2 linked regions of the Macaca mulatta genome follow. The protein of the gene in region 2 interacts with the protein of the main gene of each other region in a pairwise test. Links are inferred from orthologs where the notes say so. Each region holds a gene or a part of one and is shown on either strand. Other genes may lie near its edges.

What was found.
Region 1: the proteins of RAB6A (region 2) and PMM1 interact in binary tests that used the Homo sapiens proteins (3 or more experiments, as listed by UniProt). The two-hybrid records come from large-scale screens. The link is inferred for Macaca mulatta from reciprocal best matches to the Homo sapiens genes RAB6A and PMM1.

Annotation. Positions count from the first base shown.
Region 1 is NC_133415.1:9,910,567-9,915,049, reverse strand, and holds the start of PMM1 (phosphomannomutase 1), read right to left. Parts: upstream 2,925-4,483; 5' UTR 2,895-2,924; coding exon 2,808-2,894; intron 1-2,807. UniProt on the Homo sapiens protein: Involved in the synthesis of the GDP-mannose and dolichol-phosphate-mannose required for a number of critical mannosyl transfer reactions. In addition, may be responsible for the degradation of glucose-1,6-bisphosphate in ischemic brain.
Region 2 is NC_133419.1:74,098,876-74,102,685, forward strand, and holds part of RAB6A (ras-related protein Rab-6A), read right to left. Parts: intron 2,441-3,810; coding exon 2,329-2,440; intron 1-2,328. UniProt on the Homo sapiens protein: The small GTPases Rab are key regulators of intracellular membrane trafficking, from the formation of transport vesicles to their fusion with membranes.

The sequences.
Region 1 (4,483 bases), on a different chromosome or scaffold from region 2:
CTCCTGCCTCAGCCTCCTGAGTAGCTGGGATTACAGGTGCCTGCCACCATGCGCAGCTAATTTTTTTTTTTTTTTTAATTTTTAGTGGAGACAGGGTTTTGCCATGTTGGCCAGGTTGGTCTTGAACTCCTGACATCAGGTGATCCACCCACCTGGGCCTCCCAAAGTGCTGGGATTACAGGCATGAACCACTGCGCCCAGTCCATGCCTGGCTAATTTTTAAAAATTTTCGGTCGGGCGCGGTGGCTCATGCCTGTAATCCCAGCACTTTGGGAAGCCCAGGCGGGTGGATCACCTGAAGTCAGGAGTTCGAGATCAGCCCGGCCAACCTGGCAAAACCCTGTCTCTACAAAAGTTAAAAAATTAGCCGGGCGTGGTGGTAGGCGCTTGTAATCCCAGCTACTCAGGAGGCTGAGGCAGGAGAATCGCTTGAACCCGGGAGGTTGAGGTTGCAGTGAGCCCAGATCACGCCATCACATTCTAGCCTGGGGGACAAGAACAAGACTTTGTCTCCAAAAAAAAAAAAAAAATTAGCCAGGCATGGTGGCACTCGCCTGTAGTCCCAGCTACTCCAGAAGCTGAGGCGGGACAATCACTTGAGCTCAGGAGTTCGAGGCTGCAGTGAGCTGTGATGGCGCCACTGCACTCCAGACTGGCTGACAAAGCGAGACCCTGTCTCTAACAACAACAACAAAATAGCATCACAATCAAGTTGATTCTTGAGGAGCCAAAGAACAACAACAACAAAAATAGCCCCACAAAACAATGTTTAATATTTGCTCTGGGCAAACAGATCCTGGAGGAAAGCCACACCACAGTAACCACATTACCTTGGGGAGGGGGGCCAGGCCTGGGATCCTGGTGTAGTCAGAGGGGACTTTACCCTTCTCTGTTAGGTTTTCATTCTTTACCAGGAGAGTGTGATCATGAATATGTGTACAATTAAAAATTAACTTTCAAAAGGCACTAAGCACAGAGGCTGGCCCGTAGACAAATTAATAGGCTGTTCTTATTCAGGTTGTTATGTTTGTGGAACAGAAGGTCAGAGGGAGGCATCAGAACTGCGCCTAGGCCCTGCCACCTTTGTTCCAGTTCTTTTGTTTATTTGTTTGTTTGAGATGGAGTTTCACTCTTGTTGCCCAGGCTGGAGTGCGATGGCACAATCTTGGCTCACTGCAACCTCTACCTCCTGGGTTCAATCGATTCTCCTGCCTCTGCCTCCTGAGTAGCTGGGACTATGGGCAGGCACATGCCACCACACCCAGCTATTTTTTTTTTTTTTTGGAGACAGAGTCTCGCTCTGTCGCCCAGGCTGGAGTGCAATGGCACATTCTTGGTTCACTGCAACCTCTGTCTCTCTGGTTCAAGCGATTCTCCTGCCTCAGCCTCCCGAGCAGCTGGGATTACAGGTGCATGCCACCATGCCTAGCTAATTTTTTGTATTTTTAGTACAGACGGGGTTTCACCATATTGGTCAGGCTGGTCTTGAACTCCTGACATTGTGATCTGTCCACCTCGGCCTCCCAAAGTGCTGGGATTACAGGCATGAGTCACTGAACCCAACCTCATTTTTGTATTTTTAGTAGAGACAGAGTTTCACCATGTTAGCCAGGCTGGTTTCGAATTCCTGACCTCAGGTGATCCACCCACCTCGGCCTCCCAAAGTGCTGGGATTACAGGCATGAGCCACTGCACCCAGCCCACCTTCGCTCCAGTCCTGTCATCTTCCTCCAGTCCTGTCATTTTCCTCCCAGACCCACCCCTGCAGGAAGGCAGAGCGGGCTGATTCTTCCTTGAGTCCTCAGGGCCCAAGCCAGGGTAATTTCACCACAGAGGATGGGGAGGGGCATTTGGGACCTAAGAGAGGAGGCTAAGACCTGGGTTCCCATCAGCCACTGCCCAGTAAAGCCCATCCCACTGTTCCCCCACGCTAGGAGACCTGTCGGTTGGTCCTTGAGGCCCCCAGACTGGAGGGTGGGTTACCCACAGGGAGGGCACGAATGAAACCTGCTTACTGATGCATCCAGCTGGTGAGGGGGCTTTTGGGGACTCACTCACAATGAGACCCAGTGGGAGAAAAACTGAGCAGAGGTAAGAGGCTCAACACAGTGAGTCTTTAGAAGAAAACCACACTCTTACCCTCACTATGCCTCAGTGTCCTCACAGCAAACAGACTAGGCCTGAAGCCTCTCACCTACGGGTGGGTAGAGCCCATAAACGAATTTGAAAAGAAGCCCTCTCTGCTCCACGACTGGGGGTGGAAGGTAAGGTGGATGATAGGGCTTCAGAAACTAGACTCAGGCCCAGGCCTGCAAAGGTCGGGGTGGGAAGACTCTGAGACCCCCTGTCTCCTACCAGATGGTGACTGACACTTGGCTGCGTGCTTGTGTGCCTGGAACCCCGGTTCAGAAGCCAGCTCTGACCACTGGTGCGTTGTAGGGCTGAACTAGGGTGGGATCCCCAGCTCAGGAGGCTGGGACCTCCGGGAGCCAGGCCCTAGGGGCATGTGAAAGCATCTGGGGACAGAGGGAGCTAGGCCCCTGATCGCAGCCTCTTCCCTCCAGTACTGGATCCTACCCCAACACTCCCAAGCAGAACACAGGCAGGGACGCTGCTGGGGCAGTGACGTGGAGGGCCAGGTCCCCTCACTCCCGGTGGGTGGCCCCGGATGTCAGGGGGCCGGGTACTGCCGCATGCTACACTCGGTCCCGGCGTGTCCACGGTCACTCTGCTGCAGATCCCACACTCAGCCTCGGGGGTGTCCGCGTGACACTCCCGGCGGGAGCTTCCAAACTTCAGGGTCCTACCTGGCGAGCCGGCGTGAGGGTCCCGTCCACGTCAAACAGGCAGAGGACCCGCTCCTTCCTGCGGGCTCCCTGGGCGGTGACTGCCATGGCTGCAGCTCCGCGCGCGGGGCGGAGTCTGGAAGATGCAGCCGCAGAAGCAGCGCAGGGATAAGATTCGACAGGGCGGGGCTTTAGGGGGCGGGGCCAGCAGACGGCCTGATTGCGCCGAAGGGGCGTGGTCTCGGCGGACCGAAGCGGGGGCGGGGCCTGAGTTGATTCTGATTGCTCCTGGAAGAGGCGGGCGAGGCATAGGGCGGAGCGCAGCCCTCCAGGTTCGATTGGATTCCTCCAAACAAGACGGAGGCGGGGCCTGAGCCTGGGCCCGGCAGGAAGTGAGAGAGTGAACCCGGAAGACAGGGGAGGGGCCAGAATTGGCGGGTTGATAGTGATTGCAACAGGCCGATTCAAGGGCTGGGTCGGGCGGGGCCTCTACCGTACTGTGCAGTGCCTGGTGGGCCAGGCGGGACTAAGAGAGCCGAGGTCGCTCGCCACTCTCACAAGACCTGTGGTCATCTCTTTGCCTTACAAATTTTGAGCTGTAGGAAATCTCCTGAGCCAGGCGCTGTGGCTCACGCCTGTAATCTCAGCAGTTTGGGAGGTAGAGGCGGGCAGATCACCTGAGGTCGGGAGTTCGAGACCAACCTGACCAACATGGAGAAACCCTGTCTCTACTAAATATACAAAATTAGCCGGGCGTGGTGGTGCATGCCTGTAATCCCAGCTACTCAGGAGGCTGAGGCAGGAGAATCGCTTGATTCCAAAGAAGCCAGAGGTTGCTTTGAGCGGGAAGCAGAGGTTGCTGTGAGCCAAGATCGCGCCATTGCACTCCAGCCTGGGCAACAACAGTGAAACTCTGCCTCAAAAAAAAGAAAGAAAAGAAAAGAAAAAGAAATCTCCTGAAGGCCTTTGTTCAGGCTTTGGACTTGGCCAAATTTCCTTCCCCAAGACCCAGATCTCAGGGTCCACCTCCTTGGAGACCTTCCCCAGAGTCTTCCTTTTTTTTTTTTTTTTTTGAGACAGAGTCTCGCTCTGCCCAGGCTGGAGTGCAGTGGTGGGATCTCTGCTCACTGCAACTTCCACCTCCCAGGTTCAAGCGATTCTCATGCCTCAGCCTCCCGAGTAGCTGGGACTACAGGCGTGTGCCACCATGCCCAGCTAATTTTTGTATTTTTACTTATTTTTATTTTATTTTATTTTTTTTTGAGACAGGGCCTTATTTATTTATTTATTTATTTATTTTTGAGACTGGGTCTCACTCTGTTACCCAGGCTGGAGTGCAGTGGCGCGATCTCGGCTCACTGCAACCTCTGCCTCCCGGGTTCAAGCGATTCTCCTGCCTCAGCCTCCCGAGTAGCTGAAACTATAGATGTGCCACCAGACCCGGCTAATTTTTTTTTTTTCTTCCTGAGATGGAGTTTCGCTCTTGTTGCCCAGGTTGGAGTGCAATGGTGCGATTTCAGCTTACCACAACCTCTGCCTCCCGAGTAGCTGGGATTACAGGCATGCACTACCACGCCCGGCTAATTTTGTATTTTTAGTAGAGATGGGGTTTCATCATGTTAGCCAGGCTGCTCTCCAACTCCTGACCTCAGGTGATCTGCCTGCCTCAGCCTCCCAAAGTGCTGGGAATGCAAGCG
Region 2 (3,810 bases):
ACTCAACTGAAATTTTTTTTTTTTTTTTTTTTTTTTTGAGACGGAGTCTCGCTCTGTCGCCCAGGCTGGAGTGCAGCAGACAGATCTCAGCTCACTGCAAGCTCTGCCTCCTGGGTTTACGCCATTCTCCTGCCTCAGCCTCCCGAGTAGCTGGGACTACAGGCACCCGCCACTTCGCCCGGCTAGTTTTTTGTATTTTTAGTAGAGACGGGGTTTCACCGGGTTAGCCAGGATGGTCTCGATCTCCTGACCTCGTGATCCGCCCGTCTCGGCCTCCCAAAGTGCTGGGATTACAGGCTTGAGCCACTGCGCCCGGCCTCAACTGAAATATTAAGCAATAAAAAAACTAATCCTTATAAGCATCCTCCTCAGATGACTCTGGCTATAAAGGGAAACAATTCAGATACACAATTTTCCTATTTAAAAATGAAGAGGCCAGGCACGGTGGCTCACGCCCGTAATCCCAGCACTTTGGAAGGCCAAGGCGGGTGGATCACAAGGTCAGGAGTTCGAGACCAACCTGGCCAACAGAGTGAAACCTCGTCTCTACTAAAAATACAAAAAACTAGCCGGGCATGGTGGTAGGCGCCAGTAATCCCAGCTACTTGGGAGGCTGAGGCAGGAGAATCGCTTGAACCTGGGAGGCAGAGGTTGCAGTGAGCCGAGATCGCGCCATTGCACTCCAGCCCGGGTCACAATGCAAGACTCCAACTCAAAAATAAACAAGTAAAATGAAGGTACCGGCAGGGCGTGGTGGCTCACGCCTGTAATCCGGGTACTTTGGGAGGCTGAGGCAGGTGGATCACGAGGTCAGGAGTTCAAGACCAGCCTGGCCAACATGGTGAAATCTCGTCTCTACTAAAAATACAAAAATTTGCAGGACGCAGTGGCAGGTGCCTGTAATCCCAGCTACTCAGGAGGCTGAGGCAGAAGAATTGCTTGAACCTGGTGAGGCGGAGGTTGCAATGAGCTGAGATCACACCACTGCATTCCAGCCTGGGTGACAGAGTGAGACTCCATCTCCCCCCCCCCCAAAAAAAAAAAAAAAAGGTACCTACGAAGTCTCTAGAGTGAAGAAAAATAAAATAGTGAAAATTTCCTTCATAGCAATTCATGTCCAAAAAAGATTTTTATAAAGAAAAGATGAAATCACTTTGAATTTACTTTTAAATTAAGACTTTTTTGCAACTGTACTACTTTTTTTTTTTTTTTTTTTTGAGACAGTCTCTCACTCTGTTGCCCAGGCTGGAGTATAGTGGCACGATTTCAGCTCACTGCAACCTCCGCCCCCCGGGTTCAAGTGATTCTCCTGCCTCAGCCTCCCGAGTAGCTGGGATTACAGGTGCCTGCCACAGCACCTAGCTAATTTTGTATTTTTAGTAGAGACAGGGTTTCACCATCTTGGCCAGGCTGGTCTTGAACTCCTGACCTCGTGATCCACCCTCCCTGGTCTCCCAAAGTGCTGGGATTACAGTTGTGAGCCACTGCGCCTGGCCTGTACTACCAATTCTAATTGAGGTGCCATGGGCAGAAATGGGCTTCACATCTCCACAAGTCTTTTAACACTGGCTTTCTTTGCAACATTTGAATTAATATCACAAGTTCATTACCCGAATTTCAATATCCATCTCATGAATAAACAAATAATAAACAGTAAAAGCTCTTACTATTAAGTAGTATGGTCAAAACTATTTAAAGCAGAAAGAGTATGCAGTAAATCGCTTAAGAATGCTGAAAGCAAATATTCAAGCCATGGGTTCTACAGTGAATGTTAATATATTTTGCATCCTGTGACTTGAATATTGCTTTGCTCATTTGACTAAGGTATCACAATCAAGCTATTCAGTGCAACTACACAGTCTGGTTCAACCACACAATTAGAAAACAACAATCAAAAAACAAAAACCCACACCACTGAATTATAATGGATGTTTATAAGAAGACTACTAAGAAAAGAGTGTACATTTAATCATTATGAATAATTTTTAAAGATAAGGTTTTTCCAAACTGGTTTGCTCTTTAACAAAACAATATTCATGCTTATGAGATCTAAAAAATGCAAAATATTTACTGGCTTCAAGTCTAAACAAACTTGCACAAGAGTTATTTACACGTGAGCTTAAACAAAATAAAATTCATTTTCCCTTAAGGACTGGGTGTTTAATATTTACATTTATATTTGAGGTTCCCATGCTAAAGAAAAGCAGGGGAGGACACAAACTTAAGGATTAAGCATGTCTCCTTTCACAACAAATTTTCAGTGAACAAAAACAAAAGGCTGTATAACACAGAAATCAAACATTACACACACATAAAATAACTCCATACCTCTTGTCAGCAAGATCTGTTTTATTTCCTACTAGCATGATGATAACATCACTTCCTCTTTCTGTTCTGACATCATCAATCCACTTTGTAGTTTGCTGGAATGAGTTAACATCTGGTATAGGAGGGTAGACAGATTAGTGTTGCTGAAAAATGCCTCCCCAGGTGGTGGGCACCTCCCTCCAAAAAAGCCCTGGAAGTTGGAAGGGGGCTGGCACATTAGTACCCCACTTTTAATGTGCCTGCAACATAACTCCATTTTATCTGATTACAACTGTCAGCAATTTAAACAAATTACAAGAATAAAATCTTCAAGGTTCCTTTTAGAGTAGTTTAAAATTTTTTTGAATATGACCAAGTGAGTGCAATGTAGTATTTAATTTAAAAAAAAAAAACTTTTTGAAATATAAGGACAGTTATGGCAGATAATATGGTGTCACATTGCCACAATGCTTTTTTTATCACTTACACATACCAAACATAACAAAGAAAGCATTTTCAAAAGTATGTCAGCCAGTAAGTCCCAACACATCCAGAAAATTTGTAAAGCCTTTCAATAGCTTTCAACACCACTGTTGGCACAGCTTCCTCAGTTTGTGATCACTTTAACCTAAAATTTATTTGTTTAATGCACCAGAAACACCTGTAACAAAATTTATCTTTTCTAGTGTTGGATTCTAAGTAGAGTACTTCAACATTTATTACAGCAGCTAAAGAAAACAATATACTAATATTTGAATCACATTTGTGGATTAAAAAAAACGTAAGGTTTCACTTGCTGTGGTTAAAGTAAGCACAAACATTTTAAAGCTACAAAACGTGTCAATGCACAATATGAACATACTTCTTTTTTTTAAACAAACAGCAACCCAAAGTAAAGGTGCAAAAGAAGAAAGATTGCATATAGCACCTATTTAAAAAAAAAAAATCCTTGAACGCAATCTTCTAATTTTGCCAGCACAATTATTCATTATTAGATATGATTCCTGATTGAGATATGCAAAAATGTATAGTAACAGTTTTATTAGTCCAAATGAATAGTTCCTTTGTCTATGTAAGTTTTTTTTAGCCCACGATACTGCATCTGTGTAGTGTGGTACACATTTTTTAAAAATCTAAAAAGAAAGTCCCAGATACTGGGCTGGGCACAATGGTTCATGCCTGTAATCCTAGCACTTTGGTTTTTGTTGTTGTTGTTGCTGAGATGGAGTTTTGCTCTTGTTGCCCAGGCTGGAGTGCAATGGCACGATCTCAGCTCACTGCAACCTCTGACTTCCAGGTTCAAGAGATTTTCCTGCCCCCGTCTCTCAAGTTGCTGCGATTACAGGCATGCGCCACCACATCTGGCTATTTTTGCATTTTCAGTAGAGATGGAGTTCCATCATGTTGGTCAGGCTGGTCTCAAACTCCTGACCTCAGGTGATCCACCTGCCTTGGCCGCCCAAAATGTGAGGATTTCCAGCGTAAGCCACTGTGCCTGGCCTA